3 linked regions of the Schizosaccharomyces pombe genome follow. Changing the gene in region 1 together with any one later gene gives a genetic interaction. Each region holds a gene or a part of one and is shown in the gene's direction. Other genes may lie near its edges.

Region 1 (4,656 bases):
GAAACGCTTTGCACATTGACTTTTCAAGTAGGCAATTTATCAATACTGAAGGTGATCTATTAGAAATTATTATAAATTAGCCGAAGCAATTATCCCTAAGAAGACCTCAACTTTTAAAATCGGAAAGGACAAATCTTTGAAGCAATAAGCTCTTAATTTTATGGAACCTAATAACTTTAACAGCTACACATTACTAATTGCTTTTGGCACGACCCAAATTGCTTAAGGTATACGTGTAATGCTTGTTTTATACCGTTAGTGGAGACTTGACCTCTTTTAGCAATGAAGTACTAGCAAAATTTATGATAATCGCACATCTAATAAAAGATAATTTCACCAAATGAAAAAAAAAACCACCTAAGCAATTAATATACGATTTAAGTCACATACATTTAAATTAAGCCCTTGTTGGTGAATCTTTATTAATTATTAATCGTTTATGAACGCTGAAGTACCTTAACCTGTTAATTGTAAAGATCATTTCTATATAATGTTAATAGGTCATCAATGAGCCGCTTTTTCATTTTCAAATCGAATTTGACATTGAGGTGTTGATTTACATCTATTGAAAATGAAGGAGCAACCGATTTGCCTATATATTTTCATGCCTCTTTTTTTGCTTGTTTTTTGTTTCATATTCATCAATGTACAACGTGCTATTGGATTACAACACGTTATTATGGTAAACCGAACGATAACGAGATTCATTCGTTGTAACCACATAATACAAAAAGCAACTTTACTGTTTTGAGAAAGAGCAAGCATACCATGAACTATCTTGAAGGTACGATCGATTTTGCAGGACAATTAAGGTGTCAAAAGTATATGAACTATGGTCTATGTACAAGTGCTGTATGTCAGGGATAAAATCTCATTTATTTACTAATATATCTATAGGTTATTTCGTACATTTATGGGTATTTAGTTCAAGATTCTTATTGTGTGATTAAATTGTTTTTAATTTTAGCATCGTTGGTGGCTCTTGTAAGCTAGTTTTTTTGCTTCTAGTCATGTAATATTAACATTCATTTAAAAATAGGTGTGTCTTCCTGCTTGGTCTATGTACAACAAAAACCCTTTAAAATTTCAAAAGAAAAAGGAGTAAGCGGGAAATGGGGAATCTTTCTTTACTTGAATCGCAATCTCGCGAAATTAAAGAACCAAAATACCAAACAAAAGTTGCTCCGGCTTTATAGAATACAAATAATCTTTCATTCCAAAAGTAATGCTAAACATGTTTTAACAACTTTTGTCCGAAAACCTTTTTTTAAACGCACATTTTTTGCATATCCACAATACACGATCGATAGATGGATTTTTCCGTGATGGTTCCTCAAATCTTATTGAACATGACTTTCCTGGTACCAATAAAGAGTTACATCCTTTACATATGGTGCGCTTTATATCTGGGTGTATTCGCATTACTGATTTTTGTGAAACATCCTTGGCTGTAGAGATATAGTGTCTCGACAATGTAGGTTCTTGAACGTTTCTAAAAAGTAATTGCGAAGCCTGGTATAAATATGATACCCTTGCATGTTGGTCCTTTGACTTTGTACTCATCTCGACCGTTTATGTTTAAAACACTTGAGCTATTAAAGGAATTGCAAAACAGAGAACAAACAACTTTCCGTTTTTATAATGGAATGCAAAAGTCAAAAAAATTATTTTTAACTTAACAATTTAATTATGTTTCTTATAAAAATCCTTCATTAAATTAATTAATAAATAGTTAATGCTTGTTGCAGTCTGATTTTACCATAGGTCAAATTTTTAATTTGTTTTTCCACGGTAAACTGCGTTATGTAATTCTTTGTAAAAGAGTACGATAAATTTTTAAGGCTTTTGGATCAATTATAACCGAGATATAAAGAGAGCACATATGTTTATTCAATTAAAAAAAAATCGGTCTTGAGTTTCGCTTGGGTTTATATGATTAATTTCTCTTACCTATAAATAGTGAGAAATCATATATTCGTAAGCTATTATTAATACTTGTTCTTTTTAGCTGATGATGTGGAACGAACAAGAGCCTAATATTTTCATGTATTTTAATGATTTTCTTGTAAAACAGTAGCTTTAGTATTTTCTGACAAAGAACTTCTGTTTGATTGTTTACATTTTTAAATAGTGAGCTAAATAATTTAGAGTCTATGCTAGTCGCGACGCGTCAAACCCCTGTCAAAACCAAAACTCATTGTATCGAGCTCTTGCATTTGTTCCAACAATTACTGTTTAAAAACCTTTATTCCCAAAAGAAATTGATAGGAACAACTTAATATGGCAAAGAAATCTTTAATGGCTGAGCCTGGAGATCCTATTCCACGGCCACGTAAAAAGAGATATCGTCCAGGTACTACGGCGTTAAGAGAGATTCGAAAATATCAAAGGTCTACAGACTTATTAATACAAAGGCTCCCGTTTTCAAGAATTGTACGAGAGATATCTTCAGAATTTGTAGCCAATTTTTCAACGGATGTTGGTTTGCGCTGGCAATCTACGGCACTGCAATGTCTTCAGGAAGCGGCTGAAGCGTTCTTGGTTCATCTATTTGAAGATACGAATTTATGTGCTATTCATGCTAAACGAGTGACGATTATGCAACGAGACATGCAATTAGCCAGGAGGATTCGTGGTGCTTGACACTATATATTCAACAAAAAAAAATAGTTTTACGCTTAATCATATTGAAATTGGAATTGCTAAGGTATGATCAGTTTAATTGATATCAGGTGATTTTGAGACAGATCTTTAGCTACTCATTATAAGACTCTAAGCATGCTATCTACCAAAGAATTATTAAAAAAAATGTACGAATATGCTCATAATGAATGATAAATCTCACTCCTAGTTAATGCCATGTGAGTACCGAAGCAACGCAAATTAGATCACGTCTTGTTTCGCTTCATTATTATTCAGGCTGGAATCCTGGTCATCAATCTTATTTCCATACTTCCTTTTACTTTTTTTCTCTCGCTGTTTTTTCTTCTTGACAATACGTTGAACTTTTCTTGCTAAAAGACTATCGTTCCCGTGTTTGAATTCATCTACTTTCTCCGTTAACCGTTTCCTTGCAATACAACGATTTTGTTCACGTGAACGTGTGTCTTGAGATCGAACGATAATTCCCGTCGGAATATGTTTGACTTGGGCCACTATGCTAGTTTTATTTATTTTTTGTCCACCAGGGCCCTTTCCACATATAAATGTTTCCTCAATATCTTCTTCTTGGAGTCTTTCTAGTTGATAAGGTGTTTCTTTTTTAGAGCAATACCATGTATGCCGAAAATTTAGTTCTGCCAGACAAGAAAATGCATTTAGTCTTACTGAAATAAATGTTTTGTTCAAACACTTTCGTGCTGCGCACAGCATCTATGTTCACCTAAACGTGTTACTGCTAATAAATAGACAAACTTGACTAAAATAAACAACCTTGTCCTTTGGAATGATAATAGGCGGTCTGGTTGATTAGCGTGAAACTTGCTTAATACATTAAAAAGTTATAAGGGGATTTTGTATTATTGCTTTTCTCAAAGGTTACTGTTACAAAAAAGAAGAAAACAGAAACTTCTAAATTAGCAGAAAATTCACGATGTTGGAATATCGATGAACAAAATTGCGCACTTATTGCATAAGTTTAAAACTCTTTAATGTAATATTCTATTGTCACACTGCCCCAATAATATTTGTTTGGCATAATGCAATAGATACTGTATTACATTACATGCACAGAAGAATTTTTTTTTTTTTTTTTATTTTCACCTTTACTCTCACTCGAGTAGTGTTTTGCCTGCTTTCCAATTGACACCTCTTCTGTTTAGTCTAAAGTTTTTCGTTCAATAATTTAAAAAAGTCTTAATTTTCTTTAATTTGCTCGTGACTCAACATAAAAATAACATCAATGAGAGCATACATTTTCCAAGACGAAGGCGATCAAAGAAAGCCGAATGACTCAAAGATTGAAGTTTCAGCTGAAGATTTAGAAGCTGCTAAAGTGTCCTATAGACATCATGATGGAGATCTACATACCTTCGCCGATGGCCTTATGAAAGAATATGGATTTAAAAATCGGGATGAAGTTGTTGTTAGTAGAAAAGGACTTGGAGATCGTTATGACAATATGGTAAAGAAGTTCTTTGAAGAACATTTGCACGAAGATGAGGAAATTCGATTAATTCTCGATGGTAATGGTTACTTTGATGTCCGTTCTGTCGATGATAGATGGGTTCGAATTTTTGTTGAGAAAGGCGACTTAATAATACTTCCTCCTGGAATTTATCATCGTTTTACTACGACCACTGATGACTATATACACGCAATGCGCTTGTTTCATGAAAATCCAAAATGGATTGCATTGTCTCGCACAGATTCAACCAGCGAGGAACTGGATGCACGAAAAAGTTATTTGAACAGTATTAAAAAAAGTGTTTATGTTTAATTAGGTATATGCAACAACTGATTTATATCAATAATCTTACGTATGGATTAACACTAGATATTAATAAGAAACTTCCTTTATAAGGGTTTAATGTACAATAAAGATAGTAATAAATATAGTCACTAATCATTTATGATCATATTATTTTAAGTTACTGATTGTATTTGCTTATTGGAATGCAGCTTTCAATACACACAATTCTTTCATCTCGCTACGAC
Region 2 (6,903 bases), on another chromosome or scaffold:
GACCTACAACTCTCTGAAAACATCCAAAAGGCAATTAAAGAAATGGGCTTTGAAACGATGACAGAAATTCAAAAGCGCTCTATTCCTCCTCTTTTGGCCGGTCGTGATGTTTTAGGTGCAGCTAAAACTGGTAGTGGTAAAACTTTGGCTTTTCTAATTCCTACCATTGAAATGCTTTATGCATTGAAATTTAAGCCTCGTAATGGTACTGGTGTTATTATTATATCTCCTACTCGTGAATTGGCTCTTCAAATTTTTGGTGTCGCAAAGGAGTTGTTGAAATACCATCACCAAACATTTGGTATCGTCATTGGCGGTGCTAATCGCCGTGCTGAAGCTGATAAATTGGTGAAAGGTGTTAACCTATTAGTTGCTACTCCTGGTCGTTTACTGGATCACTTGCAAAATACCAAAGGATTTGTATTCCGCAATTTACGATCCTTAGTGATTGACGAAGCCGACAGAATTTTGGAGATTGGTTTTGAGGACGAAATGAGACAAATCATGAAAATCCTTCCCTCGGAAAATCGACAAACCCTCCTGTTTTCTGCTACACAGACAACTAAAGTTGAAGATCTTGCTCGTATCTCTCTTAAGCCCGGACCCTTGTATGTTAACGTTGATTCTGGTAAGCCTACCTCTACCGTTGAAGGATTGGAGCAAGGTTATGTTGTAGTTGATTCTGACAAACGGTTTCTTCTTTTATTTTCCTTCTTAAAACGCAATTTGAAGAAAAAAGTTATTGTTTTCATGTCATCTTGTGCTTCTGTCAAATATATGGCAGAATTACTGAACTATATAGATTTACCAGTACTTGATCTTCATGGCAAGCAAAAGCAACAGCGTCGTACAAACACCTTTTTTGAATTCTGCAATGCCGAAAAGGGAATACTACTTTGCACCAATGTTGCTGCACGCGGGTTAGATATTCCAGCCGTTGACTGGATCGTGCAGTACGATCCTCCTGATGACCCCCGAGATTATATTCATCGTGTAGGTCGTACAGCTAGAGGAACAAAGGGAACTGGTAAATCCCTTATGTTCCTCGCTCCTTCTGAGCTCGGTTTCCTTCGTTATTTGAAAACTGCCAAGGTTTCTTTGAATGAGTTTGAATTTCCTGCCAATAAAGTTGCTAATGTTCAATCTCAGCTCGAAAAGCTTGTTTCCAAAAATTATTATTTGCAGCAGTCTGCAAAGGATGGATACCGTTCCTACTTGCAGGCCTATGCCTCATATTCTTTAAAATCTATCTTTGATATTAATAAATTGGATCTCGCAAAAGTTGCTAAATCATTCGGTTTTGCTCATCCTCCAAACGTCAATATCACTATTGGTGCTAGTGGACGAACAGACAAAAAAGAACGACGTGCGGGTTATAATAAGAAGAATCACGTTGATGTTTATTCAAAACAAAGATCATCAGCTATTTCTCAAGACAAAGAGCGTGGATGGAGCCGCTAAACTTCGTTCATATTAGAAGTTGATTTCATTTAAAAGGTTTATTTAATTCGGTTTTTCTGGCTTTTACAAATGACTTGGATTTTGAATGGTTGAAGGGAATTTTTTTTTCCTTTCATCCTTTTAATATTGGTAAATAGGGTTGTTTTCGCTCAAAAGGTTTACGTGTTTGAAATAATGGATTTCATAATTTTTATTGTAAATACCCGTGTAAGTTATTCAAAGGGAGTTTGATATCGGCTATAAATAAAGCCAAAACTAATCATTGCAACGAATGGTCGTGATCGTAACAACAACGTCTGTCTTGTATATCAAGGACTGTGGTATTTTGTAACAACAATTCAGATTAGCAGCATTGCATATTAGCTCTTGCAAAGCACTTTATTTTTATGCTTATATGTACGATTGAATATTTGTTAGAACTACAAAGCACGTTGCGTTGTCTTATAACATACTAGTGAATTTTAATGTGCTCCTTAAATGTTTTATGATGCTGCATTAACTTTTATTAAAATATCACCATCTAAAGCAAGCGCATCTTCAAGTATTGTATTTCTCTGCCACAATTGACCGCAAACCTTCGAGAAGCCGTTCCTTCGTCCACTATAGAAATAGGAATGAGTGAAAACGAAGTTGTCGGGTCACCAACCACCAATGGTGATAAAAATGAGGATGGTTATCCAGCTGAAAATGGAGAAGGCACAAATGTGGATGACAACAACAATGAAGAGGAAAAGGATGGAATTCCTTTAGATAATGACAATGATGAGAATGACTCTTCTGAAGAATCTGCAACTGATGAAGAAGCTGAGCGACAAGTTAGAGAGGGTTTCATCGTCGAAGATGAAGAAGACGAAGTTCCTCAGGAAATTCGGCGCAAAAAGAAACGTAAGAAGCATGCCGAAAGTACTGCTGATCAAGATATGCTTGATGAGGAAGATCTGGAACTTGTCATGGAGAATACAGGCCAAGGCTCTCGTTTTTCTAAGTTGAGACGTTTAAAACGTGGAAGAGATCAAGAAGAGACTCTTGAAAACATATTTTCTGAGGAAGAAGAAGAAGAAGAAAACGAAGTCGATGATGAAGCTCCTAATCGCACGCAAGGCCACCGCGCTGGCGTTATCGACGAATTTGCAGATTTCATTGAACAAGACGAATTTGAAGACGAAGAGCGTCAAGAAGAAAAATATGAGACTGGTCCGCCCATAGAATCAGTACGACCTGAGGCTTTAGGAATATCGGATGATGATTATATACAAATATACGAAGTCTTTGGCGATGGAACAGATTACGCATTTGCCCTTGAAGATGAAGATGCTGAAGACGAGTTAGAAGAGTCTGTCAGTTTGAAGACCATTTTTGAGCCCAGTGAACTAAAAGATAAAATGCTTACCGAGGAGGATGAGATCATAAGAATCACGGATGAACCTGAACGTATGCAACTTTATATGAAGAGGAACATTGATTGCTCTGAAGATGAATTTAGGGAACAAGTTGCTTGGATTATCGATTATCTCTTAAAAAATAGGCGTGATATTGATGCTGAACTATATGAGCCGTTTCAAACTGCTGTTCGCTATGTAGTTCACTTCTTTATTCGTGATAGTCTTGAAGTACCCTTCATATGGCAGCACCGTCGTGATTATATAGTGCATAACAATCGTGAGAGGAACACAATTACTCCTTTATTAAGTCAAAATGATTTGTGGAATATTTTTTTCCTTTGCACCAAGTTTTGGTCACTTCATTCTAAGAAGCAAGATATCCTAAAATTGTACTCTGATTTGGGAATTAATGATGATTTAGTAGTTCCCTTCTGTGAAGCTGCTTCCTCTCTTGATGCAATTGATGACCTTAATGATTACATACATTTCACTTATTCTGAACAAATCCGTGATCGTGCCTTACTGATGGGTACTGGTCTTCGTCGTCCACAAGGTTCGAAGTATTCTTTTTTTGAAAAATTTAGAAAATCATCACTTTACAATCTCGTCAAAGAATTTGGTATGAGTGCTAAAGACTTTTCGTTCAACGTAGCACAGGGTGCTCGTCTCCGTTTTGTGGAAGACAACACCCTTTCGCCTGAAGAACTAAGTCGTACTTATGTGACAAATGAGCTGTCATCACCTGAGCAGGTACTTCAAAAGGCACGTAGAGTTTTAGCAGAGGAAATTATTCATGATCCTCAATTTCGAAAGTCTTTCCGTGACAAATTGTACAATGCTGGAGTCGTTACTGTTTTGGCCACTCAAAAAGGTGTCCGTAAAATAGGTAGTGAGCATCCTTATTATGAATTTAAGTATTTAAAACGGAAACCCTTGGGCTCGTTTGAGTTAGAGCCAATCCTATTTTTAAAAATGTTAAAGGCCGAAGAAGAGGGCTTAATTCAACTATCGATTGAATTTGAAGATCCTGATGATGTTTTTAAAGGTTTACTCGAGCTTTTTGTTTCAGATAATTTTTCTGAGAACGCAATGCAATGGAATGCTCAGAGAGAATTGGTATTAAAAGAAGTATTTAAAAGGTTTTCTGCATTAGCACCCGATGCCATACGTGAAACTTTACGTTCTCGATACCTGGACGAACTTGGAATGCGCTGCCGAAATCAATTGTTTTCAAGACTTGATCAAGCTCCCTATGAGCCCTCAACTAAAAATTTCGATCGTGGCACTATTCCATCAGTCCTTGCCGTCTCCAATGGAAAAGGTGAATCGTCTGATGCCATTATCTGCGTATTTGTTGATGATGTGGGTGAGCCTACTGATTCATTAAAACTTGCCGATCTACGAGATCTTGCTAATCAAGCAATGTTTGCTGAATTTGTCGAAAAAGTTAAGCCAGATGTTATAGGTGTTTCGGGAATGAGCGTTTCTGCTCATAAAATTCGTCAACACGTTCAAGATTCGTTAACGTCTCACGAACCAGTAGATCTAATCATGGTGAATGATGAGGTCGCTCGTCTATATCAGAATTCTACTCGTGCTGTTGATGAATTTCCTACTCTACCAACTATTTCTTGCTACTGTGTTGCATTGGCTCGGTATGTACAAAACCCTCTGTTTGAGTACGCTGCTATGGGTCGTGATTTGATGTCTTTATCATTTGATCCTTGGCAACATTTGCTTCCCCCTGATGTTCTCTGGAAATACTTGGAAACTGCGTTAGTCGATATATCTTCTTTGGTGGGTATTGACATTAACGAAGCAGTGACTAACAAATATGAAGCTAATATACTTCCCTACATAGCGGGATTAGGTCCTCGCAAAGCAGATTATGTTTTAAAGAAAATCGCTGCTACCGGTGGACGTATTGATAATCGTAGTGATTTAATTTCAAAACAAATAATGTCGAGAAAAGTTTTCATTAATTGCTCTTCTTTCTTCATTATTCCTAATGATGAGTATCCCAATATGGATATTTTAGATTCTACAAGGATACATAATGAAGACTACGAGTTAGCTAGAAAAATGGCAAGTGATGCACTAGAACTTGACGAGGAAGATATTGAAGAGCTTGAAACCAATCGAGGGGTGGTTTACCACCTTTTAGAGGAAAACGAAACAGGAAAACTTGATGAGCTTGTTCTTGAAGAGTATGCTGATCAACTGGAACGTGAATTTCACCAGAAGAAGCGAAACACTCTTGAAAAGATCCGTCTGGAGTTGAAGGATCCTTATGGAGAGCAAAGGAATGTATTCCATAAGCTGACACCTTCGGAAATTTTCCTAATGTTAACCGGAGAAAATCCAGAAGAGTTGCAAGCAGATGCAATTGTACCCGTGAATGTTAGGCGAGTTACTAATAGGTTCGTTGCCGTCAAACTCGATTGTGGAATTGATGGAAATATTAAAGCCGATGAAGTGAGTGACGATTTTATACCCCCTCCCCAATTGCTTCAGGTTGGTCAAACAGTCGAAGGTGTAATTATTTCTTTGGACGAGGCTAATTTTATGGTTGATCTTTCACTTAGAAATAGTGTTTTACAATCGGCAAATTCTAAAAGACAAACTAGCTCTCATCGTACATCTTATTGGGATACTGAGGCTGAAAAGCGGGATACTGAGAGGATGCAGGCCGAAACACAGGCTGAACAACGAGTTGCTCGCGTAATTAAGCACCCGTTATTTAAGGATTTAAATGCCTCTCAAGCCGAAGCATATCTGTCGAAAATGCAAGTTGGCGATCTAGTTATACGTCCATCTTCTAAGGGCTCTGACCATATTGTCGTTACATGGAAAGTCGCTGAAGGCTCCTACCAACATATCGATGTGTTAGAATTGGAAAAAGAAAATGAGTTTACAATTGGTCAGAAATTACTAGTAAAGGGAAGATTTGAAAAAATGACTTATCAATACAGTGATCTCGATGAGCTGATTGTTTTACATATTAAAGCCATTGCTAAAAAAATAGATGAAATGTGTATACATGATAAATTTCGAAAGGGTACACAAGCGGAAACCGAAAAATGGCTTGAGAGTTATTCTGAGGCAAATCCTAAACGATCCTGTTATGCATTTTGCTTTGATCATCAACATCCTGGATACTTTATCTTATGTTTCAAAGCTAGTGTTAATAGTCCTGTAACGGCATGGCCGGTGAAGGTTATTCCAAATGCGTTTTTTTTACAGGGCAACGTTTATGGTGATATGACTGCACTTTGCAATGGTTTCAAATTGCTGTATGCTGCTCGAACTAAAAATTTTAGACGGATGTGAGCATTGATGGTTTAAACGCTTTACTCTTATCTGCAACTACGTGACATTTGTTTTACATAATTAAAGAAAACCACCCTTGGTTTATTTCATTTTCACCGAATTTTTGGCACATTAATATTGAAATATCCCTTTTTATACAGTTGATATCTATATGTTTTTTTTTTTACAATAAATTCTCTTAATACCCTGTATTTTTATGTATATATGTTGTAGTTTTCTTGTTAATAGAGCGCAGCTTGGAAAGTCGCGACGCGTCAAGACGCGTCGCGTTTGTTGATGAATTCTAAGGAGGACTAAGAGATGTATCGCGGCAAAGCAACTACCATTACTCGTTCAATAAGAGCTTTGTGGTGCTTAAATCTATGGCATCTTTAGACGAGAACGCTGATGAGTTGCACAGAATGGATTCTTCTGATGAGGCTTCCATCAATGATGATCAAGAGGATATTTTAGATACGCCTCGCACTAGGGTGAGGAAAATGTTGGCGAGTGTTGATATGCAATTGTCTAGCAATGCTGTATCTGAAGCATCTTTGGATAAAGAGAGTACCGTTGGCAATTTAGAGAATCAGAAAAATCGCTCGTATAGCAGCGAAATCTATCTTCATTCTGATACGAATTTTTTATCTAATTTTGACTCTGCTTATGAACGTGTTAGGCGATTATTAAATCAACAAGGTGGTAAGTCTTCTCTCCAAAAAAAGGAGGTTGAACAAATTGAAACTCAAGA
Region 3 (5,781 bases), on another chromosome or scaffold:
TGCTCATTGACTTTGTTGATTACACCGCCTAATTCAACTTCACCGGATTCCAATTTTTTGCGAGAATTAGCATTAGCTGGATCTAAAGCCAAAAATTTTAGAAAATCCTTTGAGTAGGATTCAAGACATTGTATTAACAAACGAGAAGAAACATTTGGATTGCTGGGATTACTTTCGATACACTGCAATAAGTATAAAAGAGCGGAAAAGTGCTGAGATTCCCAGACATCCATGGTACAGCTTCTCAAAACTAATGGGAACCGACCTGCAGTTGTCTTAAAATTAAAAGAGTGTGGAAGAATCCAGGTTTTATGATGTTCTGGCCTAGTTGTCGAGTTTGGTCCTAAAAGGAGGTATATAGTAAAGTAGAGAATAATAACAGAATGCTATTTAGGCAGTAGCGAAATTCTTCATTCGAAGATATCAACTCTAGTACGACTAAAAAGTTATATTATAATTTGAAAATATCGTGTTTTATTACCAAGATTGATGAAAATATTTTTGTTAAGTTGCTTGGGGAGCCGTTAAACCCAGCATGCAATGCCATGTGGGTATAAAGGATAAAATAATATACAACTAATAAACAAAATTAATTTTACAACTTTTTCGTTTTCGAAAGCTCCTTGAGTGACCAATGAAATGAGTGATACTACAGTTTCGAATAGCTCTTAAAATTCACAACGAAAGTACTAAAGTACTATAAGGATTAATTAAAATACAACTTTTAGAAAGAGTATTTGAATTAACTTTTTCCTCGTCTACCATACCTATAATCTCTAATTTGCTATAATAACTGTTAACTTAATTTAATTTACTCGTTGTACCTTCAATGAGGAAGTTCAGAGTTCATAGCAGAAATCCCTTTCGTTCATTGTATTTTAAAACCCTCTCTTTTCTTTTGTAAAATATTCTCTATTCATCCCATGTGTGTTACAGTTTCAATGGTGATTACAGACAAGTTAGAGAGCCCAAAATCTTCAGTATATAACTTGCTGAATTGCATAACAAAGGGCTTTATAATAAAAAGATTTCCAATACTTTTTAAATGCGACTGGGCAGCTGTACAATTGAATGTTCAGCATACCTAGTGCCTAGTGTAAACATTTATCGTGAGAAGACAAATTCGATGCGGTGGAAATCGTAAAAAGGGCAATCATAAATACAAAGAAAAATACAAAAGCATATCTTTTTTAAAAAAAAAGAAAACTTAGAGTAGCATTGGTTTTAAATAGTTGTATGACTTGTGTTCAATTGCGCGCTTCGTGCTTCCGATCACTAGCACACCAAGAAAGTCTCTTGTTTCATTTTTAGTATAATCTGTTACATTTATCACGTTTACTTGTTATTGAAGCAGCGGCCGTATAAATCACCTCTACAAGTCTAAATATACTCGATATTATAATAATCATAAATAAACCTTGAGCTAGAATACTTTTTAACCTTATATATATAAGTACATAAGTTCAAGCTCTCATTTTGGTCATAATAATGATACCAACCTGTTTTGTAACAACCTTAATAAACATAAAAGCATTCAATTCCTAACAATTATATAAAGAGCACAAGAAAAGTGATGCTCAAAGAATTTTACTTGCCAGAAATTAAAAGTTACCATTATCGCTTTTAGCTTCGGCGGTCATAGTGAGCTTGGAAAAGTTCAGCATCCATGAGAGTAAACGATATTGCCTACTCATTAATAAATATAGGAATTTAGCAATTATATAATATATTGAAAAATAAATAATTTATGCTTTCAATGCCTTTATTTTACTTTTTATAATGGAAATACCATTTGTTATAAAATTCCAAACATTAGGTAACACACATTACCAAGTAACAATATGGGGATTAGTGTCGTTTCGAGCGTATCTAAAGTCTTAAGTAAATCAAGTCAAAAACTGGGTTGTTCAAATATCTTCGAAAACGCGATAATTCACGCGTTATTTTTTTAAAAAATAGACATTCATATACATTTTTATTATAAAATTTAAAATTTACTGTATCTTTGGATGCCCGGAATTTTCATTAGGAAGCGCGACTCGACATTCATTTCATGCTAGCCAAAGATTTAACCCACCAACAACACAACACATTCTTCATCGATATTCCCCTATAGAATACGAATTGATTGTCAAAGTGTTCGTTCGTTGAAGGAGGAGGAACTCTTGAAGCTACGAGACCCAAGCCATTGTCTCCCCTTCGCGAACAATGATGGAAAAGTCTCTGAACACGGTAACGTCTTTACCTCGTATGTCTTGCTTTTCCAGCTAAATGGCTTTGCTCTTTAGCTCTTCATTTGTCTTTCATAATTTTATTCATTTTTTCTAATGTTTGTCTGTGTTTAGTTCGTGTTATTTATTGTATTGATCGCGCATCCGCGATTCGCTGTTTAGCAAAGTCTCAACATGCTGTGCCCATTCAGGTGCTGAAGGAAGTGGAACCGAAAAAAGTGATTTGCCAGGTAGACATTCAGCATGTTATACAAACAGTTTGCCGCTGTAGTCCTGAATTGAGTTGCAAATCACAAGGTGATTTTAGCGTGTATTTTTTAGACCATACGGAACCAGATGAACTCTTCGTCGGACTAGGCTATTGGTCTTCTTTGTTGTTATCTCCTACTCTTAATGCTGGCACGTCAAATTCCGACACAGTTTGGGTGAATGGGTTTATTGTAGAGTTCGGTATTCAACGGTCCATAGAAATCAAGTTGAGATTCCAATCCTTGCAGAACTCCTTCGAGGTTGGAACTCCAGAAACACATACGTCTTCTAAATTTTTATCTTCCACTTTACCTCCATCTCTTATATTTGATCCATCATCTTCCGAAAAATCCGATTCTATTTCTGGATCTTTGTTTGATACGAACTATACATGTCCTGTCAACATAAACGGTCTTTCCAAACAAAAGTCTGTCCGCGAATTAAAATCTCCTTCACGTCCCTCCGCATTAGCTGAAACAAATGTTGAAGAGCTTGAGTTAGATTCTTTGTTCCATGCGTCAAATGACATTTCATGCTCTGCAACTTCTTTCTCTGAGCCATACATACTCGATCATCAAGCGGCGCTTGACCATCCTGCTACTGACCCTGTATGTTCTGCGTCGTCTACTACTGTAAATTCTGCAGTAAGCACAAAAAAACGCCGACGTGAAAGTAGCACCATTTCGCCAGAGTCGGCTTATGTTGCAGCTCAGCTACAAAATCCATCTGAACGTGAACAAGTTCATGAATTTATTAAAGAACAAGTTCGAATAGCTCGTGGGCGCATTGAGAAAAAGTTTACCAATGTACGTGGGAAGAATCGAATTGAAGAACAACTTACCTTGAGCTTGCAAGAAGGGAAAATTCCACCATATTGTCAAAACTGTGGAACCATCAAAACTGCCAATTGGCGCAATGCTACGTACATGAACATAACTTTGATGCTTTGTAATGCATGTGGTATATATTGGACGAGTCGGCGCTCGATGCGTCCAAGAAATTTATGGTCTACCTATAAAGCATTTGAAACAGAGAAACCGTTGGAAAATGATGCATTTGCTCAGCTTGAGTTAGCCGTATATAAACTTTCCCAGCAACGAAAACTATCTATATCCATCTTCCGTGAGCTTGAAAATGCAGGACGGCACTCTCCTCTGAATAGACTTACGTCTTTAGACTCAACACACTCTGCACCTGATCCCAATCATATCTCAAAACCCTCTGTTGTTAATCAGCAGAAATCCAGAGGAGGTCCCCGTACTGCTAAGCTGAAAAATGACCTCAGACGCATACAATCATCTCCCATTGTTGCACCTACTCCTGATACATCATTTCGTGAGCCTTTATCCGAAATTGGGTCTAATGATAGTTGGCTGGTATTACCAAATTCACTAAGTGCCAATATACAAAATGATGTTTTAAGAAAAACTGATTTCATGTGTACTGACAAGGAAAACGTCGCTTTTCCTTTGAAAACCACAACAAAGCCTATGCCTAAAGTAAATAAAGAAGAGACAGAGCCAACTCTGCCTGTTTGCGATTCAGAAAAAGAAAATGATGATTTAGAGTGCTATTTCAGAACCCCTCCAAAACCAACTACCTTACAAAAGCAACAACAAAGTCCATCACCCTGGAGGTCAGAGTTATTTTTGTCTGACCCTGACCAAAACGTATTGACACCAAGGCATAAGCCAAAGTTTGATTTATCAAAGGCATTGTCTTCGGTTGCAAAATCCAATAACATTGAGAATTCACCTCAATTACCAGAAAGATATGATTTTTCTTTAGAATTGGGGTTGAATTCTCAACTCGATAATGAAGAAAGACGCGATATTCCTCTGATGACAGATTTGGTGATGCCAAGTAGTCCGCCCATGGTCCCTGCTGACAGGCATTTATCCGTTGAAAACACTTGTTGAAAGAGCGATAAAGGCGTACCTTTGCTTCACACATTACCCTTGTTCTTTAATTTTTTGTTTTATCAAGAAGTCATGTGTGATCAAAATTGACATCTTTCATTATTCGAGTCTTCTTGCTTTTTTATGATTTTTATTTTGATAATGACATCCTTAATTCGTTTTCTTAACCGCAAAAAAATGATTGTTGCTGTTAAAGTCCTTACTGCGTAAGAACTCCCAAGGCATGTCCCCTCAAATCCGTCCTTCGTTCTTTTTATTTCTAAAGCAATTTATTTTATTTTCTTTCATACCATGAGCCGTTATTACCTCCCCCTTGATTATTAAAATATTTCAAGTCGTTGCTTATTGTTGGCGGCATAGCCAAGAGCATGCGACAAGCATTCTATAAATCTTGTCGCAAAATAGAAGTTGGACACTATTTCTTTTAATCTTCTCAAATGTTCTTCGACTTCATCTTTGAGGCTCGGTTTATGGAAATTTTGGATACTTCGTGATAGTTCTGTCTGTTTTGCTTATACAAACAAATTATAATTTCATTAATTGTATTATGAAAGCCGATATGGACAAAGCCACATCCTTATTTTACATACGGAAAAAGTTACTTTTAATTATTTATATGAACACTGTTATTCTTGTTAGCATGTTTATGTTGCGAAACGTTTCTAATTGATTATTATGGGTAGACCGGATAATTGATATTTAGCAAATTCACTAGACGAACACATGACAAATTTTTTTCAGTAATGCGAACCAAAGTCACGCGAAAGCAAGTGTAAAAGTCGAAGGATTTCAATACATGGTTCAATATTTTTGTCTAGAATAAATCAAACGTTTAGTTCATATATTCAAAACAACAGCTTATTGCTGCTTACTATTTCTAATTTTCTAATAGCCTTTTGTTAGCATTTTTGTATTATAATGTAGTTCAATGCAGAGCGGATAACGGTTTAGTGGAAGTTAACCTAGTACGTAAAAATGATTTCCGAAGATCTCGGTATACCACGCGTGACGTAAATGCCCGAGTTTATTAGCACTGACTGACTTAACAAGTTTATACTTACGCAGAAACCCAAGGAAAATCGGTGTTTCTCGTATATACTATACAATCAGCAATTTTATACCTGATATTATAATTGAAGGTATTTAGTTAATTTGAAAAGCAATTTTTTTGTCGGTACTGAAGTGTTTGAACGAATATGAAGGGAAGCCATCCAAATGCAGGTTCCCTGTTGGAACCACTTCACAAGTTGAACCCATTTTCTGAAAATTCTACAAGTGGACATCGAAAAAACGCTAGTGATCATTCGGCGGATGGAGAAACTCGACCGATTGCAATTGAGATGAAGGATAGTAAAGGCAACACAGTCCCAGTTGGTAACTCG

Evidence for each region.
Region 2: of cnp1 (region 1) and spt6, extra expression of one is lethal in a mutant of the other (dosage lethality), as found in Schizosaccharomyces pombe (one study listed by BioGRID).
Region 3: of cnp1 (region 1) and ams2, extra expression of one rescues a mutant of the other (dosage rescue), as found in Schizosaccharomyces pombe (2 studies listed by BioGRID).

Annotation. Positions count from the first base shown.
Region 1 is NC_003423.3:3,536,321-3,540,976, forward strand, and holds cnp1 (centromere-specific histone H3 CENP-A), read left to right. Parts: upstream 1-2,183; 5' UTR 2,184-2,280; coding exon 2,281-2,643; 3' UTR 2,644-2,883; coding exon of another isoform or gene 2,884-3,372; 3' UTR 3,373-3,843; downstream 3,844-4,656. Other genes in the region: signal peptidase complex subunit Spc1, read left to right, coding at 769-852, 898-984, 1,040-1,105; RNase P subunit Rpr2, read right to left, coding at 1,240-1,563; pth3 (peptide release factor), read right to left, coding at 2,884-3,372; adi1 (acireductone dioxygenase family protein), read left to right, coding at 3,902-4,438. UniProt on the Schizosaccharomyces pombe protein: Histone H3-like nucleosomal protein that is specifically found in centromeric nucleosomes. Replaces conventional H3 in the nucleosome core of centromeric chromatin that serves as an assembly site for the inner kinetochore.
Region 2 is NC_003424.3:4,211,976-4,218,878, reverse strand, and holds spt6 (transcription elongation factor Spt6), read left to right. Parts: upstream 1-2,017; 5' UTR 2,018-2,075; coding exon 2,076-6,173; 3' UTR 6,174-6,403; downstream 6,404-6,903. Other genes in the region: ATP-dependent RNA helicase Has1, read left to right, coding at 1-1,461; mrc1 (claspin), read left to right, coding at 6,536-6,903. UniProt on the Schizosaccharomyces pombe protein: Histone H3-H4 chaperone that plays a role in maintenance of chromatin structure during RNA polymerase II transcription elongation thereby repressing transcription initiation from cryptic promoters.
Region 3 is NC_003421.2:1,999,084-2,004,864, forward strand, and holds ams2 (GATA-type transcription factor Ams2), read left to right. Parts: upstream 1-2,075; 5' UTR 2,076-2,208; coding exon 2,209-2,248; exon of another isoform or gene 2,249-2,345; coding exon 2,346-4,399; 3' UTR 4,400-5,281; downstream 5,282-5,781. Other genes in the region: nucleoporin Nup186, read right to left, coding at 1-233; serine/threonine protein phosphatase PP2C catalytic subunit Ptc1, read left to right, coding at 5,596-5,781. UniProt on the Schizosaccharomyces pombe protein: Required for proper chromosome segregation via regulation of CENP-A localization to the centromere.